3 linked regions of the Oryzias latipes genome follow. The main gene of each other region encodes a partner of the protein of the gene in region 3 in a complex. Links are inferred from orthologs where the notes say so. Each region holds a gene or a part of one and is shown on either strand. Other genes may lie near its edges. The genes, in order: sarnp, thoc7 and thoc2.

What was found.
Region 1: thoc2 (region 3) and sarnp share a complex: the UniProt entries of both Homo sapiens proteins name them as parts of the transcription/export (TREX) complex. The link is inferred for Oryzias latipes from reciprocal best matches to the Homo sapiens genes THOC2 and SARNP.
Region 2: thoc2 (region 3) and thoc7 share a complex: the UniProt entries of both Homo sapiens proteins name them as parts of the transcription/export (TREX) complex. The link is inferred for Oryzias latipes from reciprocal best matches to the Homo sapiens genes THOC2 and THOC7.

The regions. Positions count from the first base shown.
Region 1 is NC_019865.2:25,904,836-25,909,100, reverse strand, and holds the start of sarnp (SAP domain-containing ribonucleoprotein), read right to left. Parts: upstream 2,935-4,265; 5' UTR 2,919-2,934; coding exon 2,808-2,918; intron 1,976-2,807; coding exon 1,876-1,975; intron 1,789-1,875; coding exon 1,745-1,788; intron 1,476-1,744; coding exon 1,405-1,475; intron 1,171-1,404; coding exon 1,119-1,170; intron 1-1,118. UniProt on the Homo sapiens protein: Binds both single-stranded and double-stranded DNA with higher affinity for the single-stranded form. Specifically binds to scaffold/matrix attachment region DNA. Also binds single-stranded RNA. Enhances RNA unwinding activity of DDX39A.
Region 2 is NC_019863.2:16,703,004-16,707,026, forward strand, and holds thoc7 (THO complex subunit 7 homolog), read left to right. Parts: upstream 1-1,559; 5' UTR 1,560-1,579; coding exon 1,580-1,667; intron 1,668-1,891; coding exon 1,892-2,012; intron 2,013-2,438; coding exon 2,439-2,566; intron 2,567-2,658; coding exon 2,659-2,745; intron 2,746-2,839; coding exon 2,840-2,897; intron 2,898-2,986; coding exon 2,987-3,053; intron 3,054-3,156; coding exon 3,157-3,226; exon of another isoform or gene 3,227-3,303; coding exon 3,304-3,365; 3' UTR 3,366-3,461; downstream 3,462-4,023. Other genes in the region: interferon-induced GTP-binding protein Mx, read right to left, coding at 3,772-3,996. UniProt on the Homo sapiens protein: Component of the THO subcomplex of the TREX complex which is thought to couple mRNA transcription, processing and nuclear export, and which specifically associates with spliced mRNA and not with unspliced pre-mRNA.
Region 3 is NC_019872.2:16,163,305-16,166,954, forward strand, and holds part of thoc2 (THO complex subunit 2), read right to left. Parts: coding exon 3,648-3,650; intron 3,554-3,647; coding exon 3,423-3,553; intron 3,139-3,422; coding exon 3,037-3,138; intron 2,207-3,036; coding exon 2,122-2,206; intron 1,278-2,121; coding exon 1,184-1,277; intron 1,065-1,183; coding exon 984-1,064; intron 903-983; coding exon 806-902; intron 1-805. UniProt on the Homo sapiens protein: Component of the THO subcomplex of the TREX complex which is thought to couple mRNA transcription, processing and nuclear export, and which specifically associates with spliced mRNA and not with unspliced pre-mRNA.

The sequences.
Region 1 (4,265 bases), on a different chromosome or scaffold from region 3:
GGGAAAAGAATAGTTTTCCTCCATGTGGGACAATAAAGCTGAGAAAAGTTTCTTTTTTTAGACAATTGCTTTATCCAAAACACCTGACAGTAAAGACAGTAACCAATAAAAATCTAAGTGAGAGCATGAACAGCCATACAGATTTGTGCGTTTGGCACCAACCATCCCCGTGTTCACTGCGTCTGACCAGCGGACATTTTCGGATCTAAAGTGAATTCAAACCTACGCAGCAACACAAATGGACAGACTGGGCTCTCAGCACTGGCCTTGATCGAGCAGAAAATGACTTCTTGACGGAACTGAAGAGCAATAATCTACATGACAGGATGATGGAACTGTTTGAGGAAAGAGAGGAGGGTGGATTTTGTCATCAAATAATCTCATCTTCTGATGAGTGAACATCTAAATATCATAAATAAATTCCTAATTGATGTGGTTATGGTAGCGGTAATGTTTTGTGCTGGCTGTAGTTGCATAACAAGATTTGTTTACTGTTTTCTGTATTTAGAGGCACTGATTGTGGCTGCAGGAATTTTCAATCTGCAATGCAAAGCTAGTTTCTGCATCATAATATGGTTAATGAGGCGTTGAGTGATTCAGACGTTGCACTACTGAAGGCCCAGGTGTGTAATGCACGGTCCGCCACTGATGTTATCCTACCACTATTGTTATTTATTTTTTTGCAAAGTCACCATAATCCAGTCCTTATCAGAGTAAGAGCATATTATTCATCAAGTATGATGAATAATATGAATGGATGGAGTCCTTTAAAAAAGCAAAATATTTAAGTTTAAATAACTAGGTTGTGCTCTTATTTGGTTAAATTTAAGTTACAGATTCGTTTTTCCACTTTTTAGGAAAGATTTGCTTTATTTTTCAGAAAAATAGATGTTTTTGTATTAAACAGTTTGGCTTTAGCATCTACCCAAAGTGAGATTTCAGCAAAACTTAATCTAAAAACACCAAACCAAAGGAGCAAACACGAGCACAAAGGTGAAGTCTGAGGTCAACTAGTGTTTTTCTGAAGCTTTTCTCTTCTAAAATTAGATTTCAGAGCTCAGACGTGATCTAAAATCTAAACCAAGGTTTATTTGTGAATGAAAACGACTCATACTTACTTCACCAGCAGACAACGGAGGAGAGATTTTCACCACTTTCTTGTCTTCAGACCTGAAGGTAGAATTTATTTTCTCAAAAATTAAAAAAAAAACTAAGAACATGACAGTCCAGCAGATCCAGCTGAACTCTTTTTTGATGTTCTCATCTGAGCAACATCGACTGTAATTCCCTGAAAAGTTACTATCTTACAATAATAGTTAATGATAAACGATAACTTTATTCACACGCAAAGAGGAATCTGAAAGGTAAAGAGGAAAAAGCACATTTGTTGTACAGTTAACTTACTCTGGAATTGCGATTGTTTCAGTGTGGTTGTCCTCCTTTATGCTGTTGGAGCTCTCAACTTTAGTGAATTCCTAAAAAGAAAAGAAAAAAAAACAGACATACTGCTTTTGTGAAACAAACAAGCAGAAGAAACAAACCTGAACAATATTTCATGATAAAATTTGGAGTTTATTCAACTAAAAACTGTGTGTGAGCTGTGTCTGCCTGAAGAAATGTAATCAATAAAATGAATAGATTTGTGTATTTGACAAATCAATATTGATTTTCTCAACAAACATTGATTGAACGTTTCTGTTTTATTGCTAAACTAGAAGAGAACGGATAGAATAAAAGACATTACCGGTGTGTCCTCTGCCAGAACTTCATCAACATCCACATCGTCCTCTGTGGTTTGGATGACAACACAGACAATATGAGCTGGCAGGAAACAACATTTGGTTGATGTGCAAAAACGGGTCACCCGGTTCTCACCGTGCTCCTCCAGGTAGGCTTGGAGCCGAGCGATCAGCTCGCCCTTGTTTCCCTTGGTTTCCAGACCGCGGGCGTCACACTCTTGCCTCAGCTCAGCAAGCTGAAAGGGAAGATGAAACCTCAAATTAACAATTGGTTTTAAAATTTACTGACGTGATTCAAAAAAAGTAAAACATAGATCAGCCAACACCTGCTTGGAAATATTGGTGTAATTGAAACTATAAAAAAATATATATATATTTTTCCATCTCCACATCAGTAACCTTCTTACTATTCCATAAAACTCTGTAAACGAAAGGACGGTTCTTTTTTATTAAAGATAAATTTACCACGATCTGAAAGCACCTACATAAACTGATTTCATCATCTGTTGAACTAAATCAGTTTAAATTGATAACAATAATTTGTGCATTGTTAGAATTTTATTTTTCCTTTTATATATATACATATATATATATATATATATATATATATATATATGTATGTTACGATTACTTATTTTCAAAATGGTCGTTCATCACATTTGCTTTGAAAAGCAGAAATGCAGGATTGAGTTAAGTTAAGTAAAAAAAATCTCTCATTTTTATTTTGTCTTTCCAAACAGCGGTTGTGGTTCGGTCCATTTACCCACCTCTCGATTTTTGCTGTAACTGATTGTTTTCATTGTTTTACGTCGAACTTTATTACTGGTGGGTTGAAAGATAGTTTCTCAGATTATCCGTTCATTTCCCTCCGCGTTTCCTTCGTCGTTCTTTTAGCCCGGATTAGCTCAGAACACATGCCGGTTCGTAGACTTAAGACCCGGAGAACACGATTTTCTGCAGCCCGCCGCCACCCCGCTAGCTGGTTCCGGTGTAAATACTGACTTCATCATTTCCACCACAAAGAAATTCACCCAATGTCAGGAAAAACGTATTTTTAATTCTACCAACCTTCAGCTTTTGGAGCTCCACCACTTCAGCCATCTTTCTCTGTTGATGTATTCCTGCCGTCCAATCAGAGTCGAGCTTTTCTTCCTCTGTGCTCCTGAACAACGACGTCATTGATCACAACGACGTCATTGATCACAGCGCCTCCTGTCGGGCATATTAACGCCGTGCAGATGGTCCTGCTGCATTTTAAACAAACTTGTAGAGATTTTGTTCAAAATAAAAATTAATAAATCGCCGCAAAATTTTGTAAAAATAAATGTAAAAGACGTGTTAAGACCTTAACAAACTTTTTATTATATAAAATCATGATTAAAATGCGATTTTATAATACTTATTCAATTTAGCCTCAGATAAAAAGTGTTTACTAACATTTTTTATCCTTATTTATACTTTTTTCGTAGACATTCCTCACTGTTTTCTTTGTTCTCAGTTCATTTTATCTTATCTTTGCCATATAGATTGTGGATGTTTTTTAGAAGTTAATTTTCTTCTTTTATTTTCTTTACCTGGAGGAATAATGGAAGCAGTTTATGCAGTGGATCCACATTCATGTATTTGAGTAACAGCTACATTTAAATCAGTTGACATCATGCTGGAACTTTCTAAAACATGTATTTTTTTCAACCACATCTATAAAACACAATTATATTACTGTCTGATGAAAAAATTATTTGCTACATCCATGTGGCAAATAAATAAAGACTATTTTTCCTAATTTTCCATGAATCATCAGGTGTGGATCTTCACAGATCTAAAATGTCAGATAGGCCTAAAATGTCACCTTCATTGTTTAACACATTGGTTTCAAAACTATTAACTCACCTGACCAGGCCATGTTTGTAAAAAATAAATTCAGGCTGGACTGAGGAATCAAAACCATCTACAAGTCTGAGAGGTTTACAGAGGAATGCAGGTGCTTGTATGAAATGTTTGAACAATTAATGAGAGTTTAACCAAAAAAAAATAAAAATAAAATTCTAGTTTAAGCAGTTTTTCTGTTTTAGTACTACACACAACAGAGGTAAAACAGATTTTGTTCCTTTTTATATTTATGTTGCAGTTCTCGTGGTGAGAGAAAAAAAAATTCAATCACAGTACAACAATACTGAACAAAAACTGACAGCATTGACCTTGGCTCTTAAAGAGGGTCAGCTGACACACGCCACCGGCTGAAAGAACCCAACACCAGCGGGTCTCAGGCGTGGATGGACTGAGACACGAGGCGGGGTCAGGGTGAACACAAAACAGATGAAACGTGTTCAAACTGGATTTGCTGTGAATGCTGACATTGTTCAAAAAGAGGTTTAACCCAAGCTGCAGCTCGGCATACGATACACAGACAAAAAAAGTTCCAATAGACTGACTTTCAAGTTGTGGGCATGAAGGACAAAGCCGGATGAATTTAGGGAGTCACAAGTGCTTCCATAATCCTCATTATGGTTGCATTCCTTCCATTGT
Region 2 (4,023 bases), on a different chromosome or scaffold from region 3:
AAATTCTAGGCGAGAACATCTTATCTTCTGTGAGAACACTCGGGATTGGGTGGCATCAGTGGGTCAACTTTGAAGTTCTTGGCAAAGCTCAACATCTGCAAAGGATTGCCTTCAGATAAAACTGAAAAGTTATAAAGTGACTTTCACAATCATTTGATGTAAGCTTTTTAGAAGATTTCTGGTGAGATTTTAAAAGAGGTTGAAGCAATCAAAATTTTAATTATTTTAAACTGTGGACACTAGCCATGAGGGTGTTCTAAGTGCTGAATCTGCACATAATGACTGTATCCAAATCCTTTTTGAGATTGTTAAAAAAGGTGCTTTGCTTGTATTTTCAAAACCATAACACACTCCCACTTAAAATGTTTGGTTAAATCTAGGCATGAATATGTTAACCTCTGATTTCTAATTGGCAAACTGCTGAAAGTTTGTACTGTTTTCCTGTAAATCTAATATACGCGTGAACCTTTGTTAAATAACAAAACTCTATTTGCCCACACGGCTGGTGTTCTGGTGAGAAATAGAGCACATTAAGTTTCAAACAAGTTTCATTGTAATTTTCTAAGGTGTAGGAACAAACATGAAATCAGACCTGAATTGATCTGTCAGAAAAAAAACGAGGAAGTGGTGACCAAGAAAATATGTTGGCCAAATGAAAACCTGTTTAAATCTATAGTTGAAGCAGGTATTGTACCTATAACCGTACCAGTAACATTACTATTTATGAATTATTATAAATGGTGAAATTAAAGCTAGATAGAAATCTTTGTCCTCAATAGCCACTTAGTAGCTAAAGGTTCTTATAGAACAGAGGTCTGCAACCTGAGGCTCCGGAGTTACATGCAGCTCCTTTATGATTCCATTGTGGCTCTTTGGTTTTGAAAAAAAAACGCTAACGATTTGAGTTACTAATAATGTTTTGGGGTTGTTTTTTTTTTTTTTTAATTTATTTATTAAACTTTCTTTTATTTGGATTCTGCTCCAATGTTGTCATGTTAATATATGACTATAAAAGTAGAAAAGAACGAATATGCAGCAAAGTCTGACTGATAGAAAAGTCTATGTTTGACCTGACTTTCTTACATGTTTTATTCAAGTGAGTCTGTTGGAGGATTTAATTTGACATGAGGTTTATTTCGTTTGAAAGGAACCTATATATGCTGCTGTCAAAAGTAAAGGAAGTTAATATTTTAATAGAAAGAAAATGATAAAACTTTCATAATTCAATTATTTTAATATCTAAATGCTACATGGTAAAAATGAATGGTTTAATGGTAAAACAAAATATGTAATGTGCCATTCTCGATTGATAATTCAGCTTGCAATTTAAGCATTCAATCTAAAAAATGCATTTTAGAATTTAAAATTCAATGTGTAATGCTACAATGTAAGCTGACATTTTTAAAAGCAAAATGTTAAATAAAACAAAATCAATTGTATTCTAAACTGTCATTGGTTTTTAGTCCAATAATATTCTGCAATATAATAAAAGTTCAATTTTGCTGTTGAGTCTAAAAAGCACAAAAATGTGGGAAAAAAATTGCCACATTGAATGTCCACCAATAGGGGGCAGTAGAAAATGAAACCGCTGATTTTAACCTGGAAAAAGAATCTTGCTCTACCGGAAATAGTATTGCTCATTGCAAACATGGGGGCCGTAACAGATGGTAATTTGGTGGTTACTTCGTTTAATATAAAGTTTTATTAAAAATAAATAAAGTGTTTATGTGTTAAGTTATTGTATACAATAGCTTATTTCTAGAATGTAGCAGTGTTTACGCAATCAGTTGGGAGAACTGTGCAGCTAATTTATTGCCCTGCAGTGCTAGCTCAGATTAGCAGGTTGCAATCTAGCCTATAGTTTATCTTGTCTCTTTCGTTTCTGTTAAAGATGAAGTCATTCGGAAACGTCTTCTTATTGATGGCGACGGAGCCGGAGATGACCGCCGGATCAACCTGCTGCTTAAAAGCTTCACTAAATGGTGCAACTCGCCCGGGACTCCGGAGGAAGGGTCAGTGCTGAATGAATCTGAGTCTGAGCTGACGCATCAGAAGATTTACTTTCCAGATTTTAATGTGATTTAGCATTTACGAACAACTCTTCTTGCGAAAGAAAAGTCACATTAGTTAGTTCTTACGTTGTGTGTACAGGCAATTCCAAGCTAGTTTATCAAACTCCATAGAAGGTTAACGGGTCTCAGTTGCATGCAGTTATACTTACCCAAGGAGAAGAGTAACTGTCTTCTCTACAATCTATGGCAAGCAGAGTGTGACACACAGCACAATGTTTCAACTCTGACCATGCATTTCAAAAGGCTGTTTCTATACATTTCCATGATGTGTTTTTATATACCCGAAGAGTAGAATGGTGTCTTCCTTGTTAAATATGCAACAAAAAATCTCACTTTAATTCCTTGTGGTCTTGTGTTTGCGTGTAGATTCACACAGTACCAGCGGATGTTGGGCACTCTGGCTCAGTGTGAGTTTTCCATGGGAAAGACGTTGATGGTTTATGACATGAATCTTAGAGAAATGGAAAACTATGAGAAGATCTATTCAAATATAGGTGAGGTTTTATTGCTCTCGTCTGGAAGCATTTCTGTTTACAATATTAGATTTCATCTATATACCCCCCCCCCCACCCTCCCCCCATTGCAGAACAAAACATCACATCTGCACATGAGAAGATTGCAGAATGCAAAAAAGATATTCAGAGGGCAAAGAGGATACGAAAAAATCGCCAAGGCAAGGATATTTTGATATGGATTGCATATTTTATTTATTGTCCTTTTTCAATAACATCCTTGGAGTATTATAAATATGTTTGTATTTTTTCCAGAATATGATGCATTAGCCAAGGTAATCCAGCAGCATCCAGATAGGCATGAAACACTCAAGTAAGTGGCTCCGTTAATTCAGATTTTCGATTGCTTGTAAACAGCGTACAACAGTTTTGCTTCATTTTTATTTATTTATTTTCTTTCAGGCAGCTAGAGGCGCTTGACAAAGAGCTCCAACAACTGTCCCACATCAAAGAGAATGTGGATGCAAAGGTATATCCAAACAGAATTTATGCAGCTTCTGTGTATTTCGCTGATGATTTGATTTATTTTAAAGTTGTTGTTTTTTTCTATCAAATTTACTGTTCCACCATAGTTGGAGTTGAGGAAGAAGCAGTTCCACGTTCTTCTTACCACCATTCAGGAGCTACAACAGACACTTGAGAGTGAGCACTTTATTCTTAATGCCAACTGATTTTAAAATTGTTTCAAAAAGTTAAACTCAAAATTTGTCTTCTTTTAGATGATGAGAAGTCAGATATTGAAGATGCCAGTCAAGAGAGCCCTGCAGGGAACAGTGAATAACAGTGGAACAGAATGAAATGTTCTTAAATGAGTTTGGGTTTGTGAGACAGAATGCTTTTCGTATGTATTTTTGAATAAAATTCTCTTGATTCTGTCGCTCTGTCTGGTTTTCCCTTTTATTGTTTCAAATAAAAATAAAAAAATCAAAGTTCACAGACTGATAATAATTTCCCTCTATATATATGCCCAAATAAAACAATGAACATAAAAACATGCTCCACACTCGAGGTGATTATAACAATATATAAAAGGAAAACATCTGTGTGCCCATATAATGACTTTTGCTGCTGTAAGATAATCATTCCTGTTAGAAACAGCAGATTCTACTGGACTACCCAAACACAACAACTGAACATTTACACTAACATGTAATTTGGAGATGCAGAAAACAGATCCTTCAAAGTTTTTAGAACTCTACTAGGTATGCACGGGCCTGCAAAAGGCGCTTAAGGCGATTCTGCAAAGTAGCCCTCTTACTGCCGATGTCAAAGTCCTCCTTCAGCAGGAAATCCAAGTTCTCCTTGTCCTGAATCATCTGCAGCATCTCTCTCTGGAGCTGGCTGGCTGATTGTTGCAGCATTTCATAACGGATCACCAGGGGGATTTGATCAGCTAGACGCATGCCAGCAATCTGCAGGATAATGTGGAATAAAAGATA
Region 3 (3,650 bases):
ACTTCTCTAAATTACAAGTGAAATCTTTTCTAATTTTACTCCTTCTACTCCCCACTTCCAGTATCTCGACACTTTAGATTATTTAATGTGGGACATGACCTGCAGTTCAACAGCTTGTCCCTGAGAATTAATCTCATCTTTGTGTTGCTTTGACAGCCATTGCATTAAAATGTCACTTCTGATTCCTCTGTGAAGCATAATCAAATCCCAAATGTCTTTCATTTTACCATAAAATCTCTATGACGACTTTTGTTCACTTGAAAAATGTCAAGCAGCTCCTGTATAAACCAGTAAAAAGCAGCTTGTAACTCCTGTAATGCTAAAACTTCCTGTCAAAAGGACAGAAAAGCTAAATCGGAGGTTAAAGTCCCACATTAGGCAGGACATCATTCCTGGCGTTCCATTGGGAAAGCTCACTTTGATGGTTAAAAGCCGAGGCAGATTAACATAAAAGCACAGGAAGCTACCTTTACCCACAAGAAACCCAACTGATGGCTGCAACTTTTTTATCAAACTTTATGATAAAAAAATCACAGCCTGCTATAAAACTTGATGTTTGATATTAAAATTAATATCCTCTTATCTCAGTTCATTTATTTTTCACATTAAACTGCATTAAACCTTCATCTTCTGCTCTCTACGCATTTCTTTTTCTTATTTATGAAGTAAATCTCCTTCTTCACATGTGCTGCAGTGTAGTTACATTATGCATGTACCAATGCTGATGAATTCTTTGGGTTTAACTTATTGCTGAAATGTCTAAAGCAGCCAGCAGATGTTGGTTTCACTAATCTCAGCTCCTCACCTTTTCCCTGCTTTCAGCTGGTTGGTGACATACTGCAGGAGGCCCGCCAACTCAATGGGGTATTTTCTGAACACGGCTCCACACAGACTCGCCAGACCTGGGTTCACAAAGGGTCACACCTTCATTAAAGCAGTTCACCTCTTTCAGCGTGTAAATGGATGATGTAACCGCCGCTTACTCTGGAGCCACGAGGAGATGGTAGTGTCGTCATGCTTCATCTTCTCCTTCTCTGGATTGGCCAAAGCCTCAATGATGCAATCTGAAGACAACGTTAAGTGGAGCAACACAGACAGGTGGAACCTCTCCATATTTAGAGCTCTGCCTAATGCAACACATCCTTTGAGAGCTTCTGAGTTCAAAACATGTGATGTAGGATACAGGCCAGGACATCATAGTTGAGGGACGTGAGAAATTTCAAGGAATCCACCACAGGAACAATGAGGTTGTCGTACCACTGGATTTGAGACAACATCTGGCAAAACAGAGGAGAAAAACTCAAAACTTCTTCAGGTTAGGGCTTTCTGACATGTCTATTAGCAAAACAACAACCGAAAAAGTGTGAAGGGTTTCTTCACCAAAAAGTGATACTTTTGGTGTTGAAACTCCAAGTAAAACAAATTTTAAAGCAACATTAGAACTAAGATCTACAGCCAAGTCTTTTTGGTCAGACTGTTCTGGTTAAGCATGATTTTAGACTCAAAAAACACCAGGACAGACAACTACCTGACCAAAGGAAGGCGGTTTAGGGAACGGCTTCCTTCTCCCATAAAGACCAGCAAAGACAAAAAACACTTTCATTCTCCTGAAAACCTTTGGGAAGTCCAGGAGGGAGAAAGTTCTCAATCACCGTCTAAATTACTTTCTAAACATCTTTCTTTTTAAGACAAAAATTATCAAAACTATGCCAACCTAAAATTCATATGATGAAAGCTAACCTCAAGGGCGGCTGAGTCTAATATTTGAGACGCTGCAGCAAAATAAACTGCATTTGCAGTTAAATGTATTAAGGCAACAACTGATATTACAGCATTCACAAAATAAGAGTTGATTTTTATCAGCTGTGTAAACTGGAGTAAATGCGATAAGCATTTATTTTTCCTGACTGTTTTGAGATTATTTATGGTAAAAGCTTTACAGTTGTCATATCTACAACAAATGGGTCAAATCATCTCAACCAATTTATCTGTTTACTTCACTGATGTTTGACAGTATATCACTAATGCAAGACACATCTGAACCAATCAAGGTTGCTGTACTGCCAGAAAGAATCCCAGATAGTCCGTCTCACCTTTTAACATAAAATAATGGGGACTTACATAATCAAAGAGGATGGTGGGATTGCTGTGGCTCAGTTTGCCAATCTGCCTTCCAGACTGTTTCACATTCTCTTTGGTCAAACGCCTTCAGAGGAGAAAGAAAGAACAGATTTTAAGACTAAGAACTAAACTAAGAGCTAAAGGAGCGGCGCTGGCAGCAAAGTTGTCACTTCTGCCGGCTTCACAGCAGATGGGAGATGATCACATTATCATATTAGAACAAAAAGCATCAGAATACTTTTCTAAAACAATCGTGTGTCTGCAAAGTTCATACAGACCAAGTACAAAAGAAAAAAGGTTAAAAGGTTCAATATGAAACAGTTCAACCAAAAAAGGAAGAAAAAAGTCATAATAACAAGTTTACTTCAGTTAAACTGGACACCCTTGTAATGATTTGACAATTTCAAGAGTTTTTCAAGGTATATTTCATAACTTTTTTCAGCTGTGTTTTGAGCTCTAATAATTTTTGTAAAAACAACCAAAGTACCGGTTATTCCTGTTTCGGTTAGCCAAACTTACATTCATCTTTGATCGCCTGCAATGGGACTTTGGTGTGCTGGGTGTATTTTTCTATAAAGGTTTGAACTTGACAATTTTAAACAAAAGTGTGTAAATATAAAAGTCTGGTTGAAAAACATGTATAAAGTTTGTTATATGGGGCTTTACAGCCTCAAAATATCTAAAATAAAAGTAAAAATAAAGATGACTACTTCACAGCTTTTTTGCCTGCAGGTTATTTTTAGAACATGACTCCCATGATTAACGAAGCTCCACGATGCATTTACACAGCATGTTGAAATAGTTGAGTACTAGACTGAAATAGTATATGGAATGTGATTTTATGTAAATAACTAAAAAAAAACAAATGTGTAGATTTCCAGAAACACTTCAGGGATCTAGGAACAAGTGACTTACTTCATGATATACTTTGCTCTTTCCACAGTCTGAGCTTTGACCTTTACCAGCAGCGGATGGCTTGAATACGTCTCATTCTTCCACTGCCCGTACAACCGGTACCTTTGGAAGACCAGAAAAGAGCAGAGGTTTCAGCTCCAGAGCTTTTTAAAATAACAAGCTGGTAACAGGGACAACCAACAGCAGTTATAGAATAATAGTGATTCCACCTTAAAACAGTCACAGACTGATAAAGCAGGTTTTAATCAACATGTCAGTTTAGTCTGCAAGAAGTGACCTAGCCATCAAATAATCATTATCAGCTCAAGTATGATAACTTAATTACGTGTCACATCATGCAGAGAGCAACATCTGTGTGTTAATGTCCTGTGTGAGTGTTTGTTCACCTGTGATGATAGGGAAAGAGTTTGAAGAGACCCCAGAGTTCCTCTGACATACAAGCATTACACTCCATCAAAGAGAGGGAGGGTAGCAGCACCTGGTCTGCAATGCTCAGGAAACAACTCAACAGTATTTCCTGCAATTATTATACGTAACATTAAGGTCACAACAAGTCGAACAGGTGTAGACGCTTGGAAAGACCATGAAAGGAATGCAACTGCTGCTCTCACCAT